Linked DNA regions of Lepisosteus oculatus. Each later gene encodes a partner of the first gene's protein in a complex. Links are inferred from orthologs where the notes say so. Each region holds a gene or a part of one and is shown on either strand. Other genes may lie near its edges.

The links.
Region 2: the proteins of senp2 (region 1) and small ubiquitin-related modifier 3 are in contact, whole or in part, in a crystal structure (PDB 2IO1), measured with the Homo sapiens proteins. The link is inferred for Lepisosteus oculatus from reciprocal best matches to the Homo sapiens genes SENP2 and SUMO3. Residues at the interface, in NP_067640.2 of Homo sapiens: Gln385, Asp386, Phe393, Lys394, Leu395, Arg396, Trp410, Leu411, Asn412, Asp413, Glu414, Ser439, Thr440, Phe441, Pro444, Lys445, Arg456, Trp457, Lys459, His474, Lys476, Val477, His478, Trp479, Met497, Gln499, Gln542, Asn544, Gly545, Ser546; in NP_008867.2 of Homo sapiens: Arg55, Arg58, Arg60, Phe61, Asp62, Gly63, Pro65, Asn67, Asp70, Leu75, Asp81, Asp84, Phe86, Gln87, Gln88, Gln89, Thr90, Gly91, Gly92, Val93, Pro94, Glu95.

Annotation. Positions count from the first base shown.
Region 1 is NC_090707.1:24,426,360-24,437,385, forward strand, and holds the start of senp2 (sentrin-specific protease 2), read left to right. Parts: upstream 1-6,647; 5' UTR 6,648-6,985; coding exon 6,986-7,155; intron 7,156-7,807; coding exon 7,808-7,863; intron 7,864-8,350; coding exon 8,351-8,466; intron 8,467-11,026. Other genes in the region: c12h21orf58 (uncharacterized protein C21orf58 homolog), read left to right, coding at 45-286, 837-882. UniProt on the Homo sapiens protein: Protease that catalyzes two essential functions in the SUMO pathway.
Region 2 is NC_090707.1:24,026,527-24,037,736, reverse strand, and holds the start of small ubiquitin-related modifier 3, read left to right. Parts: upstream 1-6,094; 5' UTR 6,095-6,215; coding exon 6,216-6,236; intron 6,237-7,473; coding exon 7,474-7,602; intron 7,603-9,783; coding exon 9,784-9,855; intron 9,856-10,816; coding exon 10,817-10,879; 3' UTR 10,880-11,210. Other genes in the region: pttg1ipb (PTTG1 interacting protein b), read left to right, coding at 66-112, 772-815. UniProt on the Homo sapiens protein: Ubiquitin-like protein which can be covalently attached to target lysines either as a monomer or as a lysine-linked polymer. Does not seem to be involved in protein degradation and may function as an antagonist of ubiquitin in the degradation process.

The DNA.
Region 1 (11,026 bases):
ATGTATGCATTTTTCAATTTTTTATTATCTTCATCATCTTCTAGGACAGTTATTTGGGCTCGCCCATCATCCTGAAGTCAGAAAAGCCCCGCGGAAGTTCAGTTCATCATCACCACCACTACACCCCTCCTCCCCTCCAATTCCCACCTTTTCCTGGACAGCTTCCACCTGTCAGCTTCCCCATGTGGCCACCTATGGTGGCCTCTAATTCCATGGGCCAGGGAGGTGGTTACCAACCATCAGTGCATCACCTGACGGGCCCCACTACACTCCCACCTCTTAACACGTAAGAATCTGCACAGCATCTGTGAGGTACAGAAACTGAAACAAGGATGTGAAGTATTGCACTAAAGGTTTCATCAATGTCCTTCTGAGCCACGTGCATTCTCAAGTTGCTTCCCTAACACACTCTTTCACAATTGATGTTGGAAGGTACTGTAAACATTTATTGGGGGTATACTTACAGTATTTAACCTAGCAAATCTCCACTGAAGCAACATTTGGAAGCAACAAATAAGGAATGAAATTATAGTGAATGCTATGGCCCATAAACTGGACTGCTGTAACACATCAATTTCCCTACGGGATTAATAAAGTATTATCTATCTATCTAAACAGCCCTTTAAGTATGACTATCCTCACAATAAATCCACTTAGACTACAACAAGAATGTAAGTTTGTGTGAAACACTAAAAATATTAGTCATGGTAAAATAAATGCAATTATTTTTATAATAAACAGTACATTGGTTCTAGAACTGAACTAAGACTGGATCCTGATATGTTTAAAGTTTTCTTTCATGAAAATTGAAAATAAAAAAATGTTGTCTTTATAAGGGTAACAATGGATGGGTTCCACAACAGAGTCCCACTGGGCCTTTGAGGTGAGCTTACCTACTTAATTACTTTTTAAAAACAGTAGCTTAAGAACTAGATAGGTACTATTTTAAAATGTCTCATTATGCTGGCTAAACCATATTTGTATTCAATGCAGCCTAGGCCAACAACTATTTTTTACGGTCTGAGAGTTCATTTGTCTTACACTTCATTACATATTCTGCACTGTGTAAATTTTAATGTGAATGTATGAATTTTTCTTAATGTAACATAATGGTTTTGCGAGCTGCATGTCTCAGACATCGGTCAAATAATTGAATAAAAAACATATCTGATGAACATTTGTCAGACAAACACATTAAAGCCACCTGCCCTATGTTTTCTGTCAAAGTAATGCTGAAGGGTATCTAATCCTTTCTTAAAAGGCTGAAACTTTTTAACCAAAATTCACCACAATTTATTCTCCTTTGTTACCCATATGGGCATGCTTCCTAAAAATCTCTGCACATAATGACAAAAAGTTGCCTTTTATCTATTGAAGTGTCCGGTGAAGTGATTATTTTAAGAGAAATGTATTTCTCTTACACTCCGAAATACTTCGGATGGTATTTCTCCTCCTTTTGTTACAGCATGTTTCTTGTGCAGATCATTTTCTTGAAAGAAAGTCTACAAATTGCTGATTCAATTCAATTTTATCTTTGTGTTGCACCCTTCAAATCAATTGGTCACATAGTGTTTTTACTGCATTAAACACAAATTATACAGATGGGGATATACAGTTAAATATGTCAAAAGGAAATTAGTGTAAGTGGATGTAAAGTAGTTTAATGTATTGTAGAGTAACAGTGTAACCATCGAGGAAGGATCAGAGAAAAACAAAAAAATAAATCTCTGGGGTTCCATGTCTCGATGGTTTTCTCCTTTCCAGAAAAAGCTGTGTGTAGCAAGAAATTATTTTAATGACAGTATACTGTATATGTGATCCATAATGGGAGAGGTTGTGCTTGAGTTTAGTGTCTGTAAACAGATATTTACTGTGAGTGGCAGTGGATGTATCGCAGTTCACTTGGCTGATCAATCTAGGATCTCTGATCTACGTTTATAGCACTTCCTTCTTATTTTGACAGGCATTTAGGTGACTATCCATTTTATCTTCACAAAGAAGTTGCATCCATCTTCAGGCAGTACCTTAAGCAATCTGACTGGGAGTGTATAGGTTGGACATTGCTGACATCCATACAGAAGGAAGGGACCAGACTGTTTGAGATCCTTGCAGATTGTTGCTACATCTTCTTTCCTGTGCAAGGCTGCAAAGGAGTGTTTCAGTATTCAAATGACTGTCCATTTTAAACTCAGTCGCTGATTATATCACTTTGAGCAAACCATGGAATGTTGATGCAGATGTATAAAAATATATGTAGTTAGAAGTTGAAATAGATTTTACGTTAAATATTCTTCATGATTCTGAATACAAATCTTCTCTTAAAAGGGGTTATTGAAAGAAAAAGCCATATTATTATATGTTATCTTAATAATGCTATATTTAGCCTGAAACGTTTGCTTCTTTTCAGTAAAGCTTTAATATATCATGTTATTTTAAAGGACTGTTTTCTCCTTAATTTAGTGCATCTATCCATATGGAATGACCTTTCCAATAGTTTCACCTACTGTTGTCACAAACTATATCTATTTCTTTCTTTTCTTTGTAAGCTATGTATTTTTGTATTTATGATTTTTTGCAAAGTGCTTGAAATTTTAATAAATGTCGATTCTAACAACATATGTTTCTTTTTGTGAAACAGTAACTGTTTATGTTTGGAACAAAATCACTATAAGACTGAATAAAAAGAAAATGAAGTAGATTATTTTACCAATTTAAAAGCCTTTTATAAACAGTCTTTTGTTTTCTGTTTGTATTCTCTAAACCAGGAAACAACTTAGTGTTTATTGTATTAAGCTCTTTGTTGGTAAATAATTGGGTTTCCAGCTGCCCTGTATTAAATTTTGAACTAGACAGACTCTATCACAATGACATAGAGATTCCTGGTTCTGGAGAGCCACCCATATATACTTCATAGCAAACATAATCAATTTATATTTAATGTGTTTTACCGGAACACATACAGTATATTTGCAAAAAGTTTTTGTCACAGAGCGTGATCCCTAAATGCAGGATAATGTTAGCTTTTGTTGCTAGCTACTCCACCTAGCAACATTAAGAGTACTAGGACCGTTTTTGCTCCACAACAGGTTCCTCTATCCTACCAGAACCATCAGTACACCCAAAGATCTGCACAGAACAGGTGTCATACATAATTACACTTTTTAATACTTTATTATCAATCTATTCATCACACAGGACCTGCGATGCGACAGATTCTATAACTGCCTACCCAATACACAGAATACATAACACAACTTAATCAAAAGAGGCACATACTCACAGAACAGTAAAAGATCCCCATGCATCCCACTTACCAAAACCCAAATTTCCCAGAGGAGCAGTCCAACATCTCTGCTCTCTAAAACCAACTCCAGTTGGTGAGCTGGCATGCTTTCTTCCACCACAGACAGAAGAAACTATTTGTAGTTTTTGATATCTCCTCAGTCTTGGCCATACTGGACAATGTGGTCTCTTATGTGCCTTCCCACCCTGTTTTGCTCTGAATCTAGCTTCGGTAGGGGAGAGGAAGATGATGCTGGAGCCTTCCTCTAATTCTCTACTAGAATCCTTAGTGTCTGAGTCCTTACCTGTGTGCTGTGGTACGAACGGTTTTACTTTAGTTTCTTCTGTCTGTGTGCCCCATGAGTCCTAATGACTGGGGTGTTTGAAGCTCCTCCTACCAGGTCACATTCTCAGGCAAGTGGAAGTCTCCCTTTGATGTCTTGGAAGTGGGCAGAGCTAACTGCTTGGGGATCATTGATCAAGTCATGCAGATGACCACGATTAATGCTGCAGTGCGTATTTATCTCAGTCTAAAGTCCAGTTAGACCTGTCTCACAATCACACGTCACCTTGAACTGTCAGGTAACTGCACAAGGAGGACCTTTGATCTATGGGAAGCCCCAGAACAAGGAAAGACACGGAATGTACCATCCTTACAGAGACACTAGCCATTCTATGCAAACTTCGTGTCAGTATAGCCCTCACACCTCCGGCCCGACACCAGTTTTTTTACACTTTCTCCTACCTTTTCACAGCTGATGCATTCCTGCTTTTAATGTTGAATGCTTGTAAGGTCTGCTAGCCCAACACTGAAAACTATGCTGTGTATGGCAGTAAAATTCAATGCAGATAAAGCTGGCATTGTGAGTATCATGTTTGTATGGGACAATTAAATTAACAGTGATGGTAGGTATAGTAGTAACTAGTGACTAGTTTCCATGGGAATGTATTGGATTGGACACCACTGATGTTAGGGTATCAATGTCTTGTGCATACAATTTTTTGCTCAAGTTTTATGATAGCTGTTAGAGTATGCCAATGTTGCTTTATAAGTGCCACTATATGGCTTTGTAACAGCTTATTTTACTTAGTACTAAATTGACATTTTGCTAAGGTGGCTGACATAAGCAAAGAGGAGACTGGATATGTGGTTGATGAAAATGTATTTATCCCATTAGCTATCCTTTTCCCATTGTAATGGGGTTTCCATCTGTTTAGGGGCTATTCACCCAGCGGATGAACAGAATAAAATCCTGCAACTGACAACTGGTAACCCACTGAAGCTAAGTAGGTGTGAGCCTGGTCAGTACCTGGATGAGAGACCACCTGGGAAAAACTAAGGTTGCTGCTGGAAGAGGTGTCTTGCAGTCTGTTTTGGTTCTAATGCCCCATTATAGTGACGGAGACACTATACTGTAAACGGGCACCGTCCTTCGGATGAGACTTAAAACCGAGGTCCTAACTCTCTGTGGTCATTAAAAAACCCAGTGTGTTTCTTGAAAAGAGTAGGGGTGTTACTCTGGCATCCTGGCCAAAGTTCACATTGGCCTTTACCAATCATGGCCTCCTAATAATCCCCATTTATGAATTGGCTTCAGAACTCTGTTCTCCTCCCTGCTGATAGCTGGTGTGTGGTGAGCATTCTGGCGTACTATGGCTGACGTTGCATCATCCAGGTGGGGCTGCACATTGGTGGTGGTTGAGGGGAGTCCCCGTTACCTGTAAAGTGCTTTGAGTAGTGTGTCCAGAAAAGTGCTGTATAAGGTTAAGGAATTAATTAGTTAACAAAATAATGAGGTGTACCTAAAGGCACTAGCATGATCTGTGAGAAGTGTGTTGTCCTGAGAGATAGCTAACTGGCAGTTGTTCAACTTAACATTTTCCACATTTTTACCTTTCTGTTCATGTATTGTAGTGTGGGCTACATTAAGTGTTTTAATAGAAACATAAGCAACGTTCATGAAATAAAGAAAATAATGGAGTGTATATGACTGTATAAATGTTTTGCATCGCATAGTACTGTAATACGTCGCAAATTAGTTTTTAGTGTGAAGAACACAATTACGAGTGATTGAACCTGTTAAGGCTAGCTTGATGCAGACGCAAAAAGAGCGTGATATGCTGTTAATGAGGGTACGACTGAAAAACTATATAACAAATCCTTAAGCCTGGTCTTTAAACTAAATTGACTTTAAATTGTTTTAAACAAATTCGACTTTGTGGCAAAAAGGGTTTCCTGTTCTGTCCCCCCAAAGCTTCTCATCACAGAAATACAGCATGAGGAGGTGAGAAGAAGTCGAGAGGCAGAAAATAAAAAGTCTCTTGGTATTACTTAAAAAAAGGATTGATAAACATTAGTGAACTTCATTAATTAAAAAGTATATACATTCCTTTTTAGTTCCCTGGAGAAGAATATCAAAACAGATCAGTTTTGAAAACTGTAACAAGCTGTATAAGTATATAGCTGTAAGTTCTAATCATGTGTGATAATGAAAATTGTAAAAAAAAAACTTGACATGACAATTTGCGAATATTATTTAATTTGCGAATATTAATTAACAAATTATACAGGGCTATTTATAAAAATGAAGTGTTTATGTGAAAAACACACCACAAAATAAACCTACTTCATTGAGTGTTCAAAATAAACACCTACCTACTTCATTGTATTCGCGCAACTGTATCGACTCTGTTATCTAAAAAGTTTACGTTTTGACAGTTGACCGCAGAAGAAAATCCGAGATTTTACCCATATAATGTAATGGTATATCAGCCTGACATGTAACTGTCCAATACGTAATATACCGTTTATGTACAAATACACTACGTATACGCGGAGAGGACTGATAAGTCTGTTTTTCATGGTTCTGCTTTCTGCTGTTGTTTTGCTTTCTTAATTATAAAGTGTAATGTATTAACTGTAAACACAGTTCAGTTTATAATTGGTGTAATTGTAATTATTAATGTAATTGTAGGACTAGACTGAAGTTGTATGAACTTGGTGTGTACGATTGTTTTATATAATAAGCTAAAACGTTAAATATAATTGTTATTTGATTAAAAGTTTATATTATTAAACAGGAAATAATATTCGCAAAAACAGATTTCTCTGACAGCTCCGAAACGGAATAATTGGTGGGTAAATAAAACACACAGTGCGATGCAAATTAGCTTCAGCCTCGTTGAAAGCTTGAATAAAACACACGTTGTGAGTTTTACCTGCAACACTATAAAACATCACTCACAGTGTTTGTAGAACTACATATAATTAAATGTCAAAACACATCTGTACCCTTGCAGTGCATTTTCACAAACTGGATACTTCCCGCGGTGCGGATGTCCACCCTTGCATTGCTATGCTCGGTCACTCGCTTGCTGGTACGCATGCGCATCAACGAGGTTCGGCCTTATTGTGTTTTGGTCCGTGCTGAACTGAGAAGGCTGGGTTTAGTACTGCAAATTGAGAAGTGCGTGTTTGACGTATTGTTGTCGTTCAGTTAGCCAATGAAACCCCAGGATGTAAAATCTTAATGTTTTGTTTAACCAACCAGGTAGTTTATTTCAGTTTTTCAGACGTATTACTATGAGACGGTCGTGACGCGAATTGGTGTCCCTGTTCGGAGGCTGGTCAACCCAGCACCCTTCAGACCTGGCCCTGACAGTGACAGACGGACAGGCGGCCTTGTTGTCGCGGTTTTCTGATATGTATGAATGGATAGTTAACGGCATCACGTCGTTCTTTGTTCCACGTTCCCGGCAAAGGACGCGGAGTCCTCCCGGCACCGAGACCCCGCCGAGTTCCGCCGCCGCTCCTCGGCTGCAGAGCCGCGTCAGCCCCGCTAAGAGAAATTACCAGAGGTCGGTGTGTTGCAGGTTTGAGCGACGGGGGACGGGTGTGCAGACCAGTGCCTCGTTAACTTTTTCTTTATTGACATGTTTTGTTTCGAAGTCAAGTGGCAGTTTGATAAGAATAACGAGAAACAATAATGGTTAATGAAATGAAATAGTGTGTCGAACACGTATTTGTTCGAGTCATGCCAAGTTTGTTTCGGCGTTTTAAAAACCGTAACTTAGACAGTGTCGTGGAGTTTACTTCAAGACGTTTTGCTTTCCAATTGTCTTTGCTAGTGAAGTTAAATTGCAACTTTACGCATTGATAGCTCGTTACCCGTAGTTTTATCGGTGCTAGAATTTGTTTGGCAGAGAATACAATTTTTAACTATTGTATTAATTCCGTTTGTCAAATAGCTGAATCACGAATAAACGTTTGAAAAAATAAACTTGACATTTTAGCCTGCCTCTCTTAGGGTCGTAATGTATCCACCTAAAACCTTTTAAGGTTTTCCCATAAAAGCTGTTTTCATCTGGCTGTCTGGCACAGTGTTCTTGCTGTTGCAGGACATGTATTTGTACTGGTGAAATGTACAGGTATGGCACCTTACTTAGTTTGCCACAGCATCGAGTTTAGTGAGGAATAACTTTTATTCCAGGTTTTAAAATGGCCTCTGTGTTTTCCCCCTCCCAGCATCCAGACATCAGACACCCAGACTGAATGTTCGGGGATCAAAAGACCCAGAAGAGGTATTTTTCAGGCTTGTCTCTCCCTGGTGAAATTGTCAGTGCAGCTCTGATCTCTAGATTTGTTTTCTTTTTTTGCTTGTTGGGGAAATTAATTCATATGCTAAAAACGAATTTAGTTGGGCCCAGTAACGCCTGTAATTAAATCTGATCACCCTATTTATTTACTTGTGCCCAGAAACAATTTTCTACCCTATATAAAAAAAGTATCTTTGCATTAACGTTTCAGCAACATGTTTTGTTCAGTTACGATTATAATAAATCAACTTGTCTATTTGGAATGTAAATCATTAAACTCCCTAAACCTGAATAATAAAATGGATGGATGCAAAGGTTTGCTCTTTTCTATTAAGCAGTTAATGCATATTGAACAACTTATTCTAAACAGAATGTTCTCTTTTTTTTGTGCCTAACAAATCTCACAAGTAAAAGTGAGTATGCTCCAGTTTTGACATGTGGTGTCTTGTAATGTTTAATCCTTTCTGCCTAGATGGAGCTGTCAGTATTGTCAAAAAAACACTGACGGGAGTCACCGGGTTTTTCAGATTTCAGAATCCTTTTACTGCTTCTCACTGTGAAACCCTAAAGGTGAACAGCACTTCTCAGGTAGGTACTCTGTTTTAATTAAATACCATTTCAAAGAGTAGATTTTCTTTACAGATTCTCTAGTCCAAAACTGTTTTTACAGCAATACCATATTTAAGAAAGGACAATTGGAGGTTTAAGGAGTATTATTAGATTCTGAAGTGTTTCTCTAAAGTGCCATACAAAAGTATTCAGACCCTTGTTGTTTTAAAGCTTGCACTTTGTGTAACATTTATTTTTGCTATATCAACAAAGTTCTCCACACAAAGCAGGAAACAAAAATGAGTCAATTGAAAATTCATATGAAAGAAAAATGGAAACATCATGATTTCATAAGTATTTAATAATAATAATAATAAACTTTATTTTATATAGCGCCTTTAAAGGTAGCGTCTCAAAGCGCTTTAAAGGATGACAATAACAATAAATAAGAAGACTGCAACAATAAATAAGAAGAATACACAAGATAAGATACAATTACAATTACAACAATAACAATAGAGGAGACCATGGAAGGTGGTACTTAGAAGAACAGGAGTGAAGAATGGAACCAGTTAAATAAAGGCTTTTCTGAAGAAGAAGGTTTTGAGTCTGGATTTGAAGGTGTTTAGAGAATGTGACTCTCTGATATCCTTGGGCAAAGAGTTCCAGAGCTTGGGGGCATAGCAGGAGAAGGCCCTGTCACCCATACAATGTAGACGGGCTTGGGGGACAGTAAGGAGGGCAGAATTTGAAGAGCGGAGGTTGCGAGGTGGGGAGTAGGGCAATAATAGTTCAGACAGGTATTGAGGTGCCAAGCCATGTAGAGCCTTATAGGTGAGCATGAGGATTTTAACGTCTACGAGGAATTTGACGGGAAGCCAGTGCAAGGACTCCAGGTTAGGAGTAATGTGAACACTTGCACTAGACCTGGTCAGGATTCTGGCTGCTGAATTGTGGACATACTGCAGTTTGTTCAGAGTAGATTTAGATACCCCAGAGAGTAGAGCATTGCAGTAGTCAATTTGAGAGAATACAAATATGTTGATCAGCTTTTCAGCCACAGTTAATGATAGCATAAGGCGTAGTCTTGCGATATTTCTAAGGTGAAAAAAAGATGTTTTGACAGTATGCTGTACATGTGGGTCGAATGTTAAGCTAGAATCAAACATAACCCCAAGGTTTTTCAATTTTGATTAAAGTACAGAGCCATCTACAGATGGGTTAAAGGACTGGCTTTACGAAGTTGATGGGGGTACCAATAAGCATGACATCAGTCTTGTCACAGTTAAGATGAAGGAAGTTTTGAGTCATCCAAATTTTTATGTCAGAGATGCAATTAGATAGAATAGAGACAGCCACATCAGTGTCAGGTTTGGTATGGATGTATATTTGAGTATTGTCAGCGTAAAAATTAAAGCTGAGGCTTTGTGATCTTAAAAGCCGACCAAGTGGGAACATGTAAATGCTGAAGAGCAAGGGGCCCAGTATTGAGCCCTGGGGGACACCAGACTTGACAAGACCAATTTCAGACCTGTACCCATTGAGAGAGACAAAGTGACAGCGATCAGTGAGGTAAGATTTAAACCATTTTAGGGCAGTGTCAGAAACTCCAAACACAGTCTCAAGATGAGAAAGTAAGATGTTATGGTCAACGGTGTCAAAGGCAGCACTGATATCGAGAAGGATGAGTATGGAAAGAGAACCAGAATCAGAAGTTATTAGGAGATCGTTGGTGACTTTGACCAGGGCGGTTTCTGTGCTGTGAAGTTGACGGAAGCCAGATTGGAGGGGTTCGAAAAGGTTGTTTGTCATGAGGTGGTTATGTAACTGAAGTGTGACAGCACGTTCTAGAATTTTTGAGAGAAAGGGTAAGCTGGAGATGGGGCGAAAGTTGTTAAAATTGTCGAGAGCCATGTTAGGCTTCTTTGGCATGGGGGTAATGGCAGTAGTTTTGAGGACCGTTGGTACAATGCCAGTGCTCAAGGATTCGTGTATAATATTGAGGACAATGGGACAGAGAGAAGAGAAACAGGACTGGAATAAAGTGGTGGGAATGGGATCTAAAATAGATGTGGTGGGTTTCATGCCCGTAACTAGTTTGTTTAGGGATGCTGAGTCAAGAAGAGAGAAGCTGGAGAGACGGGAACCAGAGAAGTTGGATGAGGAGGTATGGAAATGATATCCGTAGTGGAGAGAATGTGATGCCGGATGTTGTCAGTCTTAGAACTAAAGAAATCTAAGAATGTGTTGCAAAGTTGTGATGAGGCAGGTAATGTGGTAGGGCAGTTTGGCTTGAGCAGTCTCCACCTACACCACCTACGCTCAAGTTTGCGAGAGGCTGCCTTCATGAATCGCAGATGGTCATTGTACCAGGGGGCAGGGCGAGAGAAGGAGATGGTTCTAGTTTTTAAAGGAGCAAAGGTGTCGAGGGTAGATAAAAGAGCATTGTCAAGTAACTGTATTTTGTCCTCTAGAGGGTCAGAGGAAGAGAAACAGGATAAGGAGGACAGAACATAATTTGCAAACCTTGGGTGATCAATTGGTTGCCAGTTGCAGAAATTTACAGAGCGTGGGGAGGAGGTGTTAGAAACGGGTAATT
Region 2 (11,210 bases), about 400 kb from region 1:
CCATAAAACATAAGATGGTCAGCTGTTTCTTTGCAGCTTAAAAAGATTTCCTTGTCTCCTTGCAGGAAAGCCGAGATGAAAATGAGACACGATGAAATCAGAAGGAAATATGGTAAGCAACTCAAAACAACATATCCCTTTTTTACAGCATCAAAGGAATTTATTAAGTGATTTATAGAAAGTCACACGAGAATTTCTAACTGAAGTGCTTGCAGTATGAATCTGTGTAGTTTCTCTAAGAAATCAAACATGCCAGTTATCTTTCAGAAAGAAATGAATAATTGCTGCATAACCAACAACTCCCCTGTTGTGAAAGGAATTTAATATTACATATGATGCACACACCCTCTGTTGGTGAAAACAAATACAACATGTAATTGAAAAAGGAAGTACACCTTGTATCTGATTCAGTTTATTCATTTGATATCATCATACGGAGATCTTTGATGTAAATTAGATGGTAATGTGTTGTTTAAACGTGGTGCTGAGACAAGTTTGCACTTTTTATGGTGCTTTTGTCATATTATTTATGTTCTACAAATTAAGTACTTCAGTACCTAAAGCAAGAGGAGTTTGAGCAGCTTTTTGTTCTTTTAATAAAATATTGTTTTGGCTATGGTGGAAGAGTAAGCTTTGTAAGCGATGGAATCTGGATGTCATATTCTGGCTTCTTTACATGTTATTTCATTTATGTCGTTTTTTTAAACTCCTTTTATTATGTGGTACAGCTTGAAAGTATGCAAATGCATTCAATTAATTTTTCTCTTTTAGGTTTAACGAAGAGCAACCCTTACTCTAAATTTGAAAACAATTAACTCCAGTGGAACCAGAGGCTCCTCAACTTTCCAAATCTTTATTCGATGGACGAACAAATTCCTGTTAGACCACTGATTGCAGATTTTTTTCTTACTGAACAGAAAATTCCAACATTAAACAATAAGGCCAATTAAATATAAATTGTTTTGTGAAGGTGAGTGAACCATATTGCTCTTTGCACACACACACCTTTACATCTCATTGTAGAAGTCAACCAGTTTAAGAGATTTTCCTTTGTAAAAGCTGAATTATCTTTAATTCCACTAAGAAGTGAGTTGTTTAAAACTTGTAGATAGAAGCAATAAATGCAATGCATAAAATAATTGAAAATAATTTAGTGTTCCTAAATACAATTAATAACATCTATTATTTTAAAATTTAATCTAGCAAATTTAAGATTGTCAGAGAACTCTTTTAGGTTTAGGAGTTTTAGGTTCAAGAGGTGATGTGAATACATTAGTTAAAGGTCAGGATTCTGAATTTGTTTGATTTCCCAGAGCAGTAGACTCAGCAAACAAGATATTTAAACTAGGCTTCAGCATTGGTTAGAGTTACAACAAAGTCATTTATAATATTAAGATATTTTTCAGTACCATTTAGTCTAGCTCAGGTGATACCATTTTGGGTTTCTTAAAAATACTATATTTTAAGTAGCTATTAAAAATTTGAATGTAATTTTGTTCTTACTTTGTACGAATAAAGACATGGAGTTAGTTACTATTAAATTAAGACGTTTGTGACTCTAGCCTGATAAGACTGACTCATTTCATAAGTGCATTCTGTTTAAAAAGAGAAGAATCTGATAATGTCATGTGTGGTTGCTATTTTTATCTGGAAATGTCTGCAAAAATTATTTTCCCACAGTGATAGTTTGAAGAAAATACTGGTGTAAAGTTCTGTGAAATTATACACAGAGCTAACTGCTTGGAATTCACTCAAAGATTGAAATAGCTCTTTTTTTCTCAAGTTTTTGCTCCTTCAGTGGTAGTGACAAAACATAAAAGAAAAGAATGATGTTTCCTGTTATAAATGCTAATGCAGTGTTGGCTTTGTTCCTGTAATTGCTAGACTTAATATCTTTTTGAAAAAATATTTAGATGTTTGGACGACAAATTGTTCTCAGACATGATAGCATTTTAACATCATAGTTATTCTAAAACAATCTGCATTGCAAACCATTATAAAGAGGGTATTTTTAACAAAGCTTTCGCATGTAGAATAACAATTTTTAATGGGTTGAAACAGCAAACTAATCGGGCACTTGTGGCATTTCATATAGGGACAGATCAAAGAGAATTGCTTGATATAGGTCTAATGGTATAGCCACTTTGAGAAGTTTCACAATGGTGAATACTTTCAGATATGGTCACGACTTATTGAAAGCCTGTTTTTGACACATTGCTAAATGTATACGCAAACTTTGTTAGTAACTGTTCTGGAAGGCAGATGTCAGCGGCAGACACTGAGCAGTAAGTTTGTAACACTTATGGAAATTTTACACTTGAAGCACAGCTGCCTATATTATATATACCAAAGGAATAAGAGGAAGAGTTAGCTTTTAAGGGTTAAGCGCTCCCTTGATAGTTCAGTAGATCATCTCAGCCCAGTACTCTTTAAATCTCAGCTTTGTATTTGATCATTACTCACACCGAATGTAGAGCTTTACTTAAGTACAGCTTTATGTACTGAGTATCATTTGATTGAAAATGTGCTGCACTGTTTTACACTCCAGTTTTTATAGAAATATAGGACCTTCATACTTTTTGCCCGTTAAGCCTTTTTCATACGACAAACCATGAGTAAGGAAACCATTGTGCCTTACATCTTGTGCCTTACAACAGTGCTTTGCCGACAAATTCACTGACCAAAAATGAGTAGAGGTTGCTTGTGGATATTAATCTTAAGTATATTTTTGTATCTGTTAAAAGCAGCACATTATATATATATATGATGTTATTTACTGTGGTACTTAAAACTTCACGCTTTTTTGAATTTGTATAATGGTAATTTTGGTGTTTCCTAATAAATTGCAAATGTAGTGCGATCACATAGTGATTTCTGTGTAGTTTTAATGTTTCATTTATTAGCTTACCATTAAAAAGAGCTTTTCTGTTTTAATAAAAGAAATAAAACTATTCATCTCTTGTTGCTGTGCCTTTATTTAAACAAACAAGAAGATTTTATGCAAAATGTCCTATTGTTTGTCATTTTATTTTATTAAGATGACAATACAATAGGTGAATGTACAAGGAGATTTTTGGTTTGCTTTCATAAATGCTTTGCTCCTTTGAGATTGAACGAAGGGTAATTTGGGGAAATCTTTCCATTTAGTTAGGTTAATATGGTTACAATCTTTGCTGTGTTCGTACATAATTGGGTCTCTCCTGCTTCTGTAAGTAAACAAAATGATTAAACTTTGTAGCATCATATGAGCACAATAAATATTACAATGCGAGGCCACGTGGCCTATGTAGCTCATGAGGTTGGTAGTAGCTAATGTGTGGATCTCTTCCATCCATTTCTTTGAAGATACCAAAGTATTTGCTTGGATAGCATGGTTGGGTATCGATCATAATTTTATGACATTGCATTCTGCTATGCAGCAATTATGCCTTTGGGTTGCCTTGGTAAATGTGCCTTTCGGTATGGACCAAGTTTATTATCATCTAGCTCCTGTTTAAGAGCTAGTGGAAGAGTGACTTACGTTGCATGTCCTCTTAGTGATGAGGACTAGGTTTAAAATGCACACAAGTAGCTTATTCAGTAGAAATATCTCATGTGAGCTGTAGCAGAAACTTATCGTGTAGTATTGTATCGTATACTACAGTCCCTTATTTCATCTAAAATGACAGATCATCACCTGAAAATTCTTCACAATTCACCTCATCAGAAAAAAGGAGGCTCGAAGTACAAAACAATTCTCACTGAATTCTCAACTTCTACTGTACATCTGCAGTGTAGGGAATTTCTTCTTGGAGTAGCATGGCCTAATACTGTATATACAGTTAGGGAGTGAGTAGTTTGTCTTAGATTATATAGCAATGTACTTGAACTGTTTCAGCAGGAAAGGTCATGAATTTCTGTTGCTTCTAACTTGTTTTTGAGACAAGAAAGTGAATGAAACGTGGGCAACAGCCAAAAATAGCAAAAAAGAAACTTGAAAAAGAATCATCACATGAGAGCAGTTTCACAAAACTTTAAATTTTGTTTCACATCTTGCAGAAAAACTCTTTTGACTTTTAAACATCTGACACTGAAGACTGAATATGGAAGCTTTACAGTTCAGGAAGCTCTCAATTCTGGTGGGAACTGAAGTCATTAGAGTCAATTTAGTAAGTAATGTATACCACCTCTGCCCACCTGTACATAATCTATCATATCCAAAACTCAAAAAGCAGGTTTTTTGTGTGTGACCTTCCATTAATTAGATAAATGGGAACAAATATGCCCTCGCTTGGGGGAGTGAAGGTTGAAAAATGAAAACAAGAAATCGGAGCCAAGTACAATTAATTTAGCAGGGGTTTTTTTGCGCAGCCACGTAACGTCTCAGGCAACTCTCTCCTTTACTTCATCTGCGTGGTCTAAAAAAAATTGTTCATAGTGCGACCTCTAGTGGCAAAGTATAGTACGACAATAACAAGATTGAAAAGGACACGAGTGATAGAGAATTGGGCCCAAATTAGTCAAGTCAGTTTATTGTGCTTAACTTGATCCGCACTATTTAGAAATTATTTTTTAAAAAGACGGGGGAAATAAGCAACAAGTGGTGACTGAATATTATTACTCCAAATATATTTATTATCTTCTCTGTGTTCCGTGTAGTTCGTGCAACTACAGAAATGTCCAACAGCACAACAGCACAAAGAACAGAGTAGTTTTACTTACCTTCTGTTCTCGTAAAATGTTAATTACGGAATTGAACTGAGAAGGACAAAAGCTTGTGTGTGGAAACATTCGCAACTTTATCTGTCAATTTAGTTTTGACACAAGGGATGTTATGTGGATATGAATCTGAGGTTTTCATCAAGCAGTTTCTTTACAGATCCCAGGGAATCAGAATTAATAACACAACTGGTAGTTTGTTACAAAGACATTTTGGGAACTAGAATAAGGTAGTTTCCTATAATCCACCCTCAAATACTTTTCGGAAGCAATCCCATTAGGCTGATTTTATCAACCCTTTCATGACTTTAAATATTTGAATGAAGTATGCATATAATCACATGGGATATCTATTTTACCAGCGACATGTATTTGTATGCACTTATTTGCAAGTCCTAACTAGACTTTCTCAACGTGTTTTTTTTAAAGAAACATTAGTATTACCAAACATTGCACAAGGTATTGCATCTGAGCATATTTCATGTGCACGTTTTTTAAAAAAGTGACATTTTTCAATATAATCACCTCAATGTAGCAAAACTATTTATCTTAATGTTAACCAAAGGTAATGTTAATGCGTAAGTTTTATCAGTTTAAATTCATCGAGAGTTATTTAAGTACTCAATACAGAATGTTTTCAGTGTTTGTAAGATTTGTGAATTAGTGCTCGTCCGGGGAATCGTTTAATATGCATTAGACGGTATTGCTGAACCTTGTATTCTTATGTGATCTATTTGATATAAAAAATAATTCCCAGTGAATATGAAGGCACATTAATCGTTCTCAATGTGCTTAAGGATATTATTAAATTAATAATATTTATTTGATTTATTTAATGTTATTTAACCACTACGGGTAGTTCCCTCGTCCCTTTGCTTCTTATACGATTATCATCAGTCAAAATAACTTAAAAAGTAATTTTGCACACATATCTACTTTTTATCAGTTGAATGCAAAAGACAATAATGGTTCACTGTCCGAGACGCTTCTACATTTGTCATTTAACATGTTAAATGCGCTACATGTGTAACATGTGTCATTTAAGGTAAATGTCAAGCATTCGTTTATCACTTACTGTAAATATCACTATAACTTACAGTACTGTAGGAGTACTTTATTTTCTCGTCCGAACACCGAGCGCCCCCTGTCGTCATAAAATAATCAAATATCACATATCAGAATAAACGGCATTGTATAAATTAATTAGAAAATTGATTTATTTTGGTGTATACAGATATTAGAGATTAGCTAAACTTGTTTGTTCCAGCGCATTATACATACAGTTAGTTTTGAGCAAGTTAAAGCAAAAATCCTCACTATGGCGATCTCCGCGACACCCAACTGCTTGCAGGACATGCGCGTACCCGAGAAAGCGTCACGTGACGTGCTTTCTACCTATCAGTGACTGGGCTCTTCAGGCACAAGGCGCGTTCCAGTGGTGGAGACGACTGGCAGAGGTGTATTGAAAAGCTGTCCTTCAATAAATCCACACCGAAAACTTACAAATCAGAGGCATCATGTCTGAAGAAAAGCCAAAGGTAAGGTTCTGATGCTTTAAAAAAAGACGATTTATATTTTGTGTGATTATTTAGCGGTATGGGCAATCAGGCTGTGTTTAGGGCAGGGGATTCCTCATTTTTGTGAGTAGAATGAGAACCAAAATATATGCAATAAAAAAAATAAAATCTGCTATTTGGAATTTGGAAGCATAGGTTGGTTCTTCAGCAAAATTTACTAAGGTGCATTAGGATGGGGCTTTTCATTGAAATTGCGCCATTGTTTCCCTCTGCCGCGCAATCTCCTCGGGTTGGAATTCAGTGTGTGCTTTGCGCGATTTTCTTTGTGAAAGGGTAATGGAGTCGCAAAGCAGAGCTACGCCTTCGGCGTAAGAAATGCCGCAAAGGAGAGAGGTGCTGAGCGGAAAGATGCACAGTGCAAGCAGCCTCCATTTACAAAGCTGAGCGCATCACCGTTATGCAGTTTAACAGTGCTTTTTGGTAAAGCACACTTTACACGACCGTGGAGGGAGTGATTACCTTTTCGTTTGTTTACATAGGTATTTGTTTTAACTATGATTTCGTCCCATTTAGTTTGTAATTTCACTGGGGAAGGGGGTACGTTAATGAATATGGCCTTGTACCTTGTTACAAATTACAAAGTTGAGAAAGAACGTGAAACTACAATAAATCCCAATCTCTATCAATTAATGAGAACGTTTCTTCCCCTGTACTGAAATAAGGCAGTTCATTCGTTGAGAATAAAGTGTACATCTTTTTTCGATTACAAATTATGAACATCTCCTGTCATGCCAATTCTATGCCATAACAATATTAGGCTAGTAATAGTAACGTAAGGTACGTTTTATATTTGGCAATAATGATAAAAAGTACAACATTTCCAATTTATGCAGCACAACTGATAAAACATGGCGATTTTGCTGGAGCTGGAGGGTTCACCATGTGTGATGCTCTGCCAAGGTATTAAACACAACGATCCGTAGGAATACATTGGTTCAAGTAAATCATTACGTACTGTAAAGATTTTCGCTGTAGCTGTCAAAAAGTAAAAAAATAGTCAACGTATGAGATGCTTTCAGCAGTTAGTGCGCAGAAAAAATGGTCGATGCTTTAGTACACGTTATGAGGGTTCTAAAGTAACTTGATTTGTTTACATCAAGCTACTTTGTTACTATGTAAAAAAGACCTACAGGTCTTCTGTAGATTTATTTGAGCGATTAATCCATGTTTGATAGTCTTGTTTTTAATTCACTTTCAGGAAGCAGTGAAAACCGAGAATGACCACATTAACCTGAAGGTGGCTGGTCAGGATGGCTCTGTTGTCCAGTTTAAAATTAAAAGACACACCCCCCTCAGCAAACTTATGAAGGCATACTGCGAAAGACAGGTAAACATTCCTTTGAAGTATTTTTCTTTACCGCGATCTTCCTTAAAGTGCCTTTATAAGGATGTAGGCAACCATACTTGAGTGTCAAAGACTGCATATCTTCATAACATTTTAGGACGTGCACTCTTTCCTTCGGTGGTGTTTTCCCGTATGCATTGGTGCAAAATAATTCATAAGGTTTGATTCATGTGTGGATGCAGGACATCTGTAATTGTGTGCACATACAGTATAAATCTAGAGCTACTTTCCCTTCATAATGATTAATCTTTTCTTGGATGGAGCCTGTAAAATCTTCAGCATTGCACAGGCTTATTAAGTGCACATTGTGTATGTGGGTGCAAGAATTATGCCATGGGGTTTCTCAAACTTTGGACACTTGCAGGACTTTATGTTTTTATTTTGAGGAATAATCTGGTCTGAGCACAATCGTGCCTTTAAAAGGTGAGCACCCAAGTTCCAGAGAAATCGAACAAACAAAAAAAAGAATTCAGTGCAGATGTGCCTTTTAAGTATGCCAGGCTACAGTACTGGGGACAAAGGGTTTTACAGTTACTACATGGATCAGGCAATTACAGTACAAATTAAAACAAGCCAAAAATACCCACTAAAATCTTAGTTTTTAAAATATCGCCATGCTGCAAGGCATAGTATATGCAAAATAGTTGTAGCAGCACTTGAAGAAAAGACAGTTGTGGCTTGCTTTAAAGCTCAAATGCAAAATAAAAAACAGCAATATTTTAACTATATCAACATGCAAACAAACCTGCATTCCTGACCATTGTTTTCTCAAAAACCGTCACCTCTTAGGCTACAAGGAATGGTTAATTCCACACTGAAACATAGAAGGAGAAATTCAATGTATTGACTGTTGAGCCGGCAGCTGTATTTTCTTTTTAGTTTTCTGTGTGGAATTAATCTTAACTTGTTCCTTTGGAATCACGTCACAGTGAGTCTGTTTTAGAGAGAAAGAATTATGTAATGCTGTGCTTAATTGTCTTTGTGTAGGCGAATGTTATGTTAACAATTGTCCTGCATATGCCCTGATCAGTCTGGGAATGCACAAACTGTCAACGTTTAAATAGTATAATGCTGATTATATTTTATTGCATGCCCACATTATTTAGGATAATATAGAACTATATGGACAATGTGCTTATTTACTGTTTAGTCAACAGATGGATTGGATTTATGGCAGGCTTCAGTGTAGGTTTTGTGGTTCACACTTAAAACAGTAATCAGGGAAATAGTTCTGTTAGAGAGTTATTTATAAAGGACAGGACACATTTTTGTGTTCTTTTCATTTAAGTGCTGAATGTTACAGTTAGTGCTTACCTCTCTTACTCCGCTTTAAAGATGTGTACCAGTGATTATAGCAGTACTCTTTCAAAAAACATTTCTGTCTCTAAAGGTTTGAGGATTGTCCAGAGAAACATCTTTCTAATGGAGTGCTAAGCCTAATCATAAACGTATTTGTCTATAATTAGTCCACAAGTATTCTGTGATTTTCTGAATTGTCCATTTTTTGAAGGCTAGAAATATGAGGGAGCAGTTTTCCTCTTCAATTTCCTGTAATATATATATATATTATATATATATATTGATGGTTCTTGTAATTAGACCCAGCTGATTAGGACTAGCCAGCTGTGTGTTGCTCACCTATGCTCACAAGTATGAGCCCTGTCACTGCATGCAGGAAAATGAGGATGTGAAGGGAGACTCATCATGTCAAAGGCACTACATCTGGAGGCTCAGTGCTAAATGGAGGAAAGACACATCCCCGAACAGCATATCATATGTGCAGGCACCCAGGAAACCACAGGGCTCAGTGTGTCGCTGAGGGCCCTGGTCAACTCTGCAGCCTAACCTCGGCAGTGCTCAGTCAGTCGCATGCTTTTCACTGGAGAAATGCCTGTCATTGCTGGCTAGTGACGTGACCCAACATCAAACTGGTGACCACAGAGCTTTAGTCTGTGCTTATCAAGCACATTCACCAGTGTGCTGCTTTGGAGGCATGGGAAATGTAATAGTCACTGTCTGCCTGCACCTTTAATGACAACATATTGTATTTTAGCTTTGACTGCCATTTGAGCTATTTAGAGTGGTAACTGGTAATGTTGCAAAGTGCAATGTTTAGATGCGGTTATTCATGAGGGTTTAACTCTTCTATTTTTTGATTCCCAGGGTCTGTCAATTAGGCAAATTAGATTCAGGTTTGATGGACAGCCAATCAATGAAACGGACACACCTGCGCAGGTAAGGACAAACTCAAAACAATTGAGAGGCACTTAAAGCCTGCTTCTGTTTGTCACAACTGTAGTTTTAGGCTCGCCCTGTCCGTTCCACCTGAATTTGCCTTCTTAAATGAAATGAGATGTTTTTGACATTACCTGCTGTGTTCTGTTGTTGTGCTGCTGGAGCACAATGGATGCTGCAGGCCTTCCAAGAGAGTGCCCACTTCTGTAGTAAACAATATAGATCTCCTCATACATGTGATTGATTTGGGACTGAAGGCACTATAGAAATACAGGCAATACTTATTCCATTTCCTGTCACAGTAGCAAACCTGAACTATTGATAGCTTAATGTAATTTGTACCTATTTTAGCAAGAACCTGCAGCACGTTTGAAGCATCAGAAGTATCACTTCTTTTATAAGTATGGAGGTCCAACGCCTGTTGACTTGAATACTTGTCTATTACAAGTTTTAGTTTGTTTTGAGGTGAACATTTTTTTTACATATTACAGTTAATATGTAATGTTTAAAAAATTATTTAGACCGATTATAAGTATTGCATTCAGGCATACCAGAGGGCAATTACACAATGTTGTCCTTGTTGCTTTTGAAGAACTGTGTAATAGTGCTTGTACGTTTGCAACAAGTGCCACTCTGAAGGTCTGCACTGGCACTCACTGACCATACAGCCTTGGAAGAAGTGATCTTCGGTGTTCAATTGCTGTATATTGAGCAGTGATATCCTGTTTCAAGATCTATAGTCAAGAGGCATTGATAGAAAAGTAAATCCTTGAAAACTGGAACCAGATAATTAAATGATGTGAACACTGGTTTGCAGTAGAAGGAAGCTTTTAATGTCATTCTGATTTTGGATTATCAACAAGTTTGTTCATAGTAAAGAACTTGGCCTTTGTTAACTGCAGATATTGTGTATACATTTTGAAAACAACTCCCTATATGAAAAGTATGTGTTTGCTTTCAGCTTGAGATGGAAGACGAAGACACTATTGATGTATTTCAACAGCAGACCGGTGGAGTGTGTTAAAGGTGTACATCCTTCCTTAAAGAGGACTGCGGACCTGGAGTAAAACCCACTTTACTAAGCTTTTTTATTTCTTTTTTCCCCCCTCCAAATACTCGGTTTTAATGTTTTTTCCTCATAAACCCCCCCCCTGGACTGTTGTGGAAACAAAGTCTGAGTTTGAACGCTGGTTTTAAATGATAACCATGACTCACTGGGAGCAAAGGATTCTTTAAACATCCATCCTGAGTACACATGAATTAAAGTGCATGGTACGTAGAGAGCAATTGTGGTTTCCCCTCGAAAAATGCATGATATCTAATCGTGGAATTTAATGGTGGGCTGTGAGGTGTTG